2 linked regions of the Xenopus tropicalis genome follow. The protein of the gene in region 1 purifies or fractionates together with the protein of each later gene. This does not show direct contact. Links are inferred from orthologs where the notes say so. Each region holds a gene or a part of one and is shown in the gene's direction. Other genes may lie near its edges. The genes, in order: abce1 and lto1.

Region 1 (3,814 bases):
GATGGCATCCCTGTAATTTGGGGCTTTCTGGATAAAAGGTTTCAAATAACTAATCCCATACCTGTACTGTTCTTATTACAGCTTTGTGGAATATGTTTATGCTAACAAAAAACACAGGTATATAGAGATCAAACTGTTAGATACAATCTGTATCCTTTTGTACTGATTATTTACAATTAATTACTCTGACAGTATGGGAGCCAAGAATCTCCAGATTGTTCCTTTCCAACCATACCAGACTAATGAGGTGCCATGAGTTGTAGCAACTTGTTGCTGATTCTTGTCTTAGAACAATACATTTGTTGACATGCACTAAACCATCTACCCCTCTCTGTCTGCTGATTCAGATCAGTGTGAATTGCACTTGGGTTTGCAAACATACTTTGATTCATATATTTTTTGACAGCTAACTTAAAATGGGGTCCATAAATTGCTTAATTTCTGTAAAATGTAGAAGGCCTACTTTATAAACATAGGTGCTAAATTACTTAAGTGTAGTTACCTGTAGCAACCTTGCCTTATCTGTTCCATTGCACATCAGATGGGTGCTATGGCATCCCATTCACTGAAGTCACTCTGAGGAAGTCAGCCTTAGGGCTCTGGCACACGGGGAGATTAGTCGCCCGCGAACAGGGAGTTTTGCCGCGGGCGACTAATCTCCCCGTGTGCCAGAGCCCTTAGATCCATCTACCTTCTGTGTTAGAAGTTCCGGAATGTAATAAAAGCATTTACTAGTGTAACAGAAAACTCCATTTACCTGATGGTTCACAGTTTACCTCACTGGCACAATGCCCTCCACCACAACATGATTTTTCTTTTTCCTCTGATTTTCTCTTTTAAACATTTTGTTTCAATAAAAGCACTTGAAATTAAATGGTGCTTTTTTTGTGGCAGTTTACCCTAAATGCAGTTCTGACCCAAAATTTTACTATTTTGTTTTCCCAGGTGTTAAAGTTGGTGTCCATTGAAAAACAAAGCTACAGTTATACCAGACAATATGGCAGACAAACTAACGAGAATAGCTATTGTCAATCATGACAAATGCAAGCCAAAGAAATGTCGTCAAGAATGCAAAAAGAGTTGCCCTGTTGTAAGGATGGGTAAGTGACGTTTCAGTTCGGTTATGATTCAGATTTAGATTTAATTAAGAATTTAAAAAATGTAAATTAGTGTGCAGCTCTTTGGGGACTGGCAGCATCCATATTAATTGTGTATTTGTGTAATGTCTTTTAAAAAACTTTTTTATAAGCTGTGATATTATTTTTGATAAATTGTTGTTGGTCATAAAGTAGCACAGAAAAATAGAATATATAGAATCAGTATTCTGTATATTCTATTTTTCTGTGCTGCTTTATGCCCAACAACAATTGAAGTGCTTAGTTTGTAATTAGTGCATTTATTTTTTTTTTGTAGGAAAATTGTGCATTGAAGTGACTCCACAAAGTAAAATTGTATGGATATCCGAAACCTTGTGCATTGGATGTGGTATCTGTATCAAGGTAAACAATTTTTTAATTTTAACATTTACAGTAGCTAGGGACAGCTGATATTGGCAGCAGACATTTTTTTTCAGATGTGTATGTATGCTAGTTGATTTTGTGGAGCAGGGCTGTTGCTTAAGTTGAGCCTCAAGTGTGAATATTGGTAAAATAGAGTAAACGATTGCAAGTAGTTAAACCAGTTGTGTAATATATTATTCTGTTTTCTTACAGAAATGTCCCTTTGTAGCATTGTCAATTGTCAACTTGCCGAGCAATCTGGAGAAGGAAACAACCCACAGATATTGTGCCAATGCCTTTAAACTTCACAGGTGAGTGATTCTTGAATATTTGAGTTAGATGCTGCAAATTACAGAATTGAATTAAGGTGGAAAAATAGAAACATTTCATTTGTCTCTTCCTGAATTATACTGTGTACATAGGAAGTACCACTCTGTGGATGCTATGAGCTAGGTTCTTTTTAAAGGGGCATATCTATCAAACATGAAAGAGTTCACCAGCAGTACTTCTGGTGCTTAGATCTTTACTGTCCTCATGGAGGACCCTGGACTTGGTGTACCACTGCAAGGCATTTTTATTTCTCCCCGCTTGCCTGTGGGCTCCTTAGTTTGCTCTGTATGACACTATCTGTTTATATAATCTGGCCCATGAGCAAGTACTATGTCACTACCTGGAAATAGTTGGACAGTGCTGACTTTTTTAATTTTTTTAATTTAATCTGCAGCCATGAGGATTACAAACTGTATATATTTTAACAAATGATTTGGTTGTATAAAGGTTGCCTATTCCCCGACCTGGAGAAGTACTTGGGTTGGTTGGTACAAATGGTATCGGAAAATCTACAGCATTGAAAATTTTGGCTGGAAAGCAGAAGCCAAACCTTGGAAAGCATGATGTAAGTATAGGCTGCCAAATTTCAATGACAGCTGAATAATATAATTGGTATGCTGGTTGACTGATTTCATTCAGTCTATGGCGGTGTTGAACTCTTCTGTTTTCAAAGATAGAATGTGTTTTTTTTTTTTTTAATGTGATTTTTAGAGAGATCTTAAAGGACAAGAAAACCATAATTCATTGGAGCTGTGCCACTGTATGCTCCTTCAGTGAATTAAATCAGTCACTTTCCCCATGGGCTGGCATTTTTCCTGGGGAAAAAATATACCAAGAAGGCGGAGCATTGTGTCGCAGGGTAGTGCCACCTTCTTACCTGTTTTTTGGGGGGTTTTTTGGAATTTGTTTTTTGCCCACAGTTTAAGTTTCTGAATAGCATTTAAATTGATGCGAAGAGCTTGTTTAGTAATTTGCTTGTAGTGCTTGTTTTCCATTCTGTGTGTTTTTTTTTTTTTTTTCCTCTCTAAAGAGAACTATAATATAAATAGTTTCCTCATTATTGTATTTATTTTCAAGGATCCTCCAGACTGGCAGGAGATCTTGACCTATTTCAGGGGGTCAGAGTTGCAGAATTACTTCACCAAAATTTTGGAGGATGACCTGAAGGCCATCATTAAACCTCAGTATGTGGACCAAATTCCAAAAGCTGCAAAGGTAATTGCACTTTTTATTTTCTAGAATCTGTTAACTACATTTTAGTTTGGTATGAATTGCTTGCTTAATTATTACTATAGTGCATTTACAAAATTTACAGAGATTTCCTATAACTGTAGGATGCACTGTTAACATTTATGTAATAAAAAAACTTTTTGTTTTCTTTTAATTATGTACACAGGGACCTGTGGGTACCATATTGGATAGAAAAGATGAGACAAAGACACAGAAATCTGTATGTGATCAACTAGGTGAGTATAAAATCTTTAATATAGGCTGTACATTAATGTATGGTCATGTATTATTTCCCCTGCTTTTACCGCTAGAAGGTTCAGTGCAGCTCTCATAAATCCAGCAAAAAACCTTCTAGCACTTGGTGGGCTCTGAATAACTTATTGATATAATGGCTCACTTGAGAACTTACACTATAATAACCTATAGAGAAGTGCTCAGCCTGTGGCCTCATAACTGGTTGTATGATGCTTAAATGCCCTTTACCATGGATGTTTACATATTTTGTATATATGAGCCACATCAGACTTTTGACTGGCATAATGACAGAGCAGCCTTTGATATTGTTTCTTTGTATTGTCACAGAACTTTTTAGTGTTTACTTAATTCAATGTAATTCCTAAATTTTCCAGCACTTGTTCTCTTGTCGAAAGATACAGTATGCACAGACTTGGAGGAGATTACTGCTAATAAACACATGTTTTACAGACCTTACTCATCTGAGAGACAGAAACGTGGAGGATCTTTCTGGGGGAGAG
Region 2 (4,277 bases), on another chromosome or scaffold:
CCATATTTCACGCCAATCCTACCCCGTTTCCAGATGTCTAAAAACCAAGCAGGCAGCTATGAACTGGGCAGCCCATCTAAAAACCGGACCCCAGGCCCTTCCCATTGCAGCCCCAAAGGGCCACTGCTGTCCCAGTCCAATACTGGGGCTTTGGCTGTGGGTGTCCTGGTTCCAAATGCAGAGTTGGACTGGGGGGGTTCAGGGCCCACCAGAGCTGCTGCCCCAGAGGTCCTGCACCCCCCAAGGTGCCCCCACTGGCCACGTCCCCCGCAGGGGCCCCCGTCCGACGTCCTTCCCTGAGCGCGTGTAAAGGTGGCCATACACGGGCCAATTGTAGCTGCCAATATCGGTCCCATAGACCAACTCGGCAGCTTATCGGCCCGTGTAGGGGCACAAACGACAGACCTGCCCGACCGATATCTGGCCTGAAATCGGGCAGATATTGATCGGGTAGGTTAAAAAATTTAGTTGGATCGGGGACCGGCGTTCTAATTCAATTGTCGCCAAACAACTGAATTAGCCTAAATTCACCCGATATCGCCCACCCGTAGGTTTTAACCTGTCGGACTGGGGGGTAAAGGGCCCACCCCACTCCCACCCCAGGGGCCCTACAGGTGCCCCCCTAACCCCCCTTGCAGGGCCCTCCACCTGACGTCCTCCCCTGAGCTCGTACATTTAATGCGTCAGGGGAGGAGCAGTCTGGCAGGGGGGTCGGGTCTGGGCCGCCGGGGCCCACCGTGATTTTTCCCAGTGTCCCGACACCCCAGTCTGACCCTGTTAACCCGTATGGCCACCGTAAGTGAAACATGTTAAGGGAGGACACCCGCGGCTGGGGGAATGGCAACAGGGTCCCGACGGCCCAGTCCAACCCTGTGTAAATGCCCTCTGAATCCCACCATAAGGCCACAGTCACACCTGGAATACCGCCCACTTCTCTCTGCCCGCAAAAACACCACAGACACTGTGCGTCACTATGGCCTCACCAACATTGCGGTCCCACAAGCTGAAAGCAGGGAATTCCCATTTAAACTTAGAAACTCTTTCCAACTATGCACCCACCCTGTTTTCTATTCATAATCCCTGTATATTATCTAACACAAATGACAGGGCAATGGTAGAGTTACATTAAAACCTTGTTAGTGCATTACCCCAGAGCTAATCTCCCATTCGCACCTCAGGTCTTGTAGTTACTCATTATTACTTATTATTACTTATTATCACGCTTTTCCCGCGTTCTAAGACGATGCTGCGTCACAAGCAGTAGCCATAGCAACCTGCGAAACAGGAAGTGCGCTTTACAGGCGCCATCTTGGTGCTCTCACGCAGCGGCTAGGCCAGCGCTCTTCCTATTTGCTTGTGGGAGGCGGATGTGGTGTGACGTAATTCCGGAATTTCTTTCAGAGGCTGATTTCGCTGAGCTAGGGTTGTGTGTGCGGCGTGAGAGGGACAGAGAGCAGTAATGGAAGGGACAGACGACCTGTTTGATGACATTATTATGTGCGAGCAGAGGTGCGGCCTGTGTTATGTTTACTTACCGATGTGCAGCTGCAGGCAGAGGAAGTTCAAGTTTGAAATGTATCATTATGTGGTTGTGCGAGTGACTTGGGTTCCTTTGCAGGTACCGCGGGGAGGGGTATGAGGAAGGGTTGGCGGAAGGAAACAGTGCGGGAGAGTCAGAGGGCAAGCAGTATGGAGCTGTCTATGGAGCAAGAATGGGATCGGAGGTGTGTATAATTATATACTATTAAATATATATATGTGTGTGTGTGTGTGATTCACAGGATACCCCCATTCATAGTGTAAATCGGTGCTACTAAAAAATAAGTAGTGACACTGGTTAAAGGATGCCATGTATTAAAGGAGAAGGAAAGGCTAATAAAGAGTTAATCCCAAGCTGCAGGCATACCTTCAGTTCTCTCAATAGTGCCCTTAAGTCTCCCCATACAGAGAAAAAAAAACGCTGAGCTGGGTAGAGAAGATTCCCATAATGCATCACTCCCTCAAGACTTGGCGGCTTGTTAATGCAGGCGACGCATGCGCACACAGCAGGAGCGGCCGGTTGCCATGGCGACGCAGCGTCGGCGAACTCTGTGACAAGCAGATGGGGGGAGCGGGGCGGCAGAGGGTTTGTGGAGCTTGGGGGGTTTGTGGTGGGAGCGGCGGAAGCTTTGTGGCGGGAGAGGCGGAGGCTTTGTGGCGGGAGCGGCGGGGGCTTTGTGGCGGGAGCGGCGGGGGCTTTGTGGCGGGAGCGGCGGGGGCTTTGTGGCGGGAGCAGCGGGGGCTTTGTGGCGGGAGCGGCGGGGGCTTTGTGGCGGGAGCGGCGGAGGCTTTGTGGCGGGAGTGGGGAGGGGCGGAGGCTTTGTGGCGGGAGTGGGGAGCGGCAGAGGCTTTGTGGCGGGGAGCGGCGGAGGCTTTGTGGCGGGAGTGGGGAGCGGCGGGGGCTTTGTGGTGGGGAGCGGCGGAGGCTTTGTGGCGGGAGTGGGGAGCGGCAGAGGCTTTGTGGCGGGGAGCGGCGGAGGCTTTGTGGCGGGAGTGGGGAGCGGCGGAGGCTTTGTGGCGGGAGTGGGGAGCGGCGGAGGCTTTGTGGCGGGAGTGGGGAGCGGCGGAGGCTTTGTGGCGGGAGTGGGGAGCGGCGGAGGCTTTGTGGCGGGAGTGGGGAGCGGCAGAGGCTTTGTGGCGGGGAGCGGCGGAGGCTTTGTGGCGGGAGTGGGGAGCGGCGGGGGCTTTGTGGTGGGGAGCGGCGGAGGCTTTGTGGCGGGAGTGGGGAGCGGCAGAGGCTTTGTGGCGGGGAGCGGCGGAGGCTTTGTGGCGGGAGTGGGGAGCGGCGGAGGCTTTGTGGCGGGAGTGGGGAGCGGCGGAGGCTTTGTGGCGGGAGTGAGGAGCGGCGGAGGCTTTGTGGCGGGAGCGGGGAGCGGCGGAGGCTTTGTGGCGGGAGCGGGGAGCGGCGGAGGCTTTGTGGCGGGAGCGGGGAGCGGCGGAGGCTTTGTGGCGGGAGCGGGGAGCGGAGGGGGGGCTGGCTTGTGCTTTTCAGCCCATACAGACAAGATGGCGGGCGCCGTTCACTGAAACAAGTATGTAGGTTCTAGTATGTGTATCTCTGTAAATCTTTCATTAGGCAAGCCAGGAATATGGCGTTTTTACACAGCAATAGTAGTACTATTTAATAGCGTGCTTAATAGATTTTGACTTTCCTTCTCCTTTAATGCAAAGGCGATTGCTCCACAAAAAACTCATATAAATAATGATAATAACCATTGCCCCATTTAATTACACTTTTTCTCCTCTTTGGACGCAGCTTGGCTGTTACCTGGGTTTCGCTTCAACATGGAGGCTTCTATTGGTACCTGCTTCTGATGATCGTCAAAGGTTTGTTTTCCTGTGCTTTAATAAGTAACCACCACTGATCCAATCAATCTGAACATTAGGTTCCTGCTTACACTAGCAATATAGCTTATTTTGAAAATAGGACCTCAGGGATGTCATGTTAAACCTTTTCCTGAAAATCCAGTCACAAAAGACTTGTGTAGTTAAATAAGTAGAATAGATGGTTTTTCGTTATGAATAAAACACAATTTTATCCAACGGTAAAATATGCAAACATTTTGTCATTGAGGCCTTAAGGTTATGTATAGTGCTTTCCTTTTAAAGGAGACCAAAGAAACAAAGAACTAGGCTAGAAATGCTGTTTTTTGGGGTTTCTGTGCCAGCTCAAGCCCACAGAAGCCAGTCAAAAATCTCTGTTTTACATTACAAGCTGATTCAGTTTACATGGCAGCTTGGAAACCAGTGTATTCTACATCTGAGTTCATGAATTATCAGCCCTGTTGCATTAGCTTCTGTGACAGAGGTAACCTCCTTTTAAGATTTCAGAAGGTCTGTAAGTTTAGCATCTCAACAGCAACACAGAGCACACAGAGCATGTGCAGCGCCACTGACACTCAAAAGATGGCCTCATAAGATTAGGTCAATAGTGAATGCAGTCATAACTGCTACAATTCTTTGTTGGACTTGTAAGCACCAAGTGATCCAAACTGCTAAAAATTGCTTTGCTTGTTAAGTTTCAATGAAGTGTTTTAGCCTAGTGTTACGATGTAAATCATTACGATAAATGGAAATTGATGTTATTTTTTTTAATTCTATGCAGGCGAAAAATAAAAGCCCTTGATTCACTGATTGCCATGATTCGGAATTTTCATTCAGATGATCCAACTAATCCAAATCTTCAAGAGGACATGGCAAATATCCGTGGGAAGGTAAAACAGGTTAGTGTTGCACAA

Evidence for each region.
Region 2: the proteins of abce1 (region 1) and lto1 purify together in Homo sapiens (affinity purification with mass spectrometry; 4 studies listed by BioGRID and IntAct, with this or other methods). This does not show direct contact. The link is inferred for Xenopus tropicalis from reciprocal best matches to the Homo sapiens genes ABCE1 and LTO1.

Annotation. Positions count from the first base shown.
Region 1 is NC_030677.2:59,060,051-59,063,864, forward strand, and holds part of abce1 (ATP-binding cassette sub-family E member 1), read left to right. Parts: intron 1-945; 5' UTR 946-997; coding exon 998-1,100; intron 1,101-1,413; coding exon 1,414-1,499; intron 1,500-1,712; coding exon 1,713-1,810; intron 1,811-2,276; coding exon 2,277-2,394; intron 2,395-2,906; coding exon 2,907-3,044; intron 3,045-3,225; coding exon 3,226-3,295; intron 3,296-3,764; coding exon 3,765-3,814. UniProt on the Homo sapiens protein: Nucleoside-triphosphatase (NTPase) involved in ribosome recycling by mediating ribosome disassembly. Able to hydrolyze ATP, GTP, UTP and CTP. Splits ribosomes into free 60S subunits and tRNA- and mRNA-bound 40S subunits.
Region 2 is NC_030680.2:12,878,370-12,882,646, forward strand, and holds the start of lto1 (protein LTO1 homolog), read left to right. Parts: upstream 1-1,432; 5' UTR 1,433-1,459; coding exon 1,460-1,509; intron 1,510-1,618; coding exon 1,619-1,724; intron 1,725-3,295; coding exon 3,296-3,366; intron 3,367-4,144; coding exon 4,145-4,262; intron 4,263-4,277. UniProt on the Homo sapiens protein: The complex LTO1:YAE1 functions as a target specific adapter that probably recruits apo-ABCE1 to the cytosolic iron-sulfur protein assembly (CIA) complex machinery. May be required for biogenesis of the large ribosomal subunit and initiation of translation.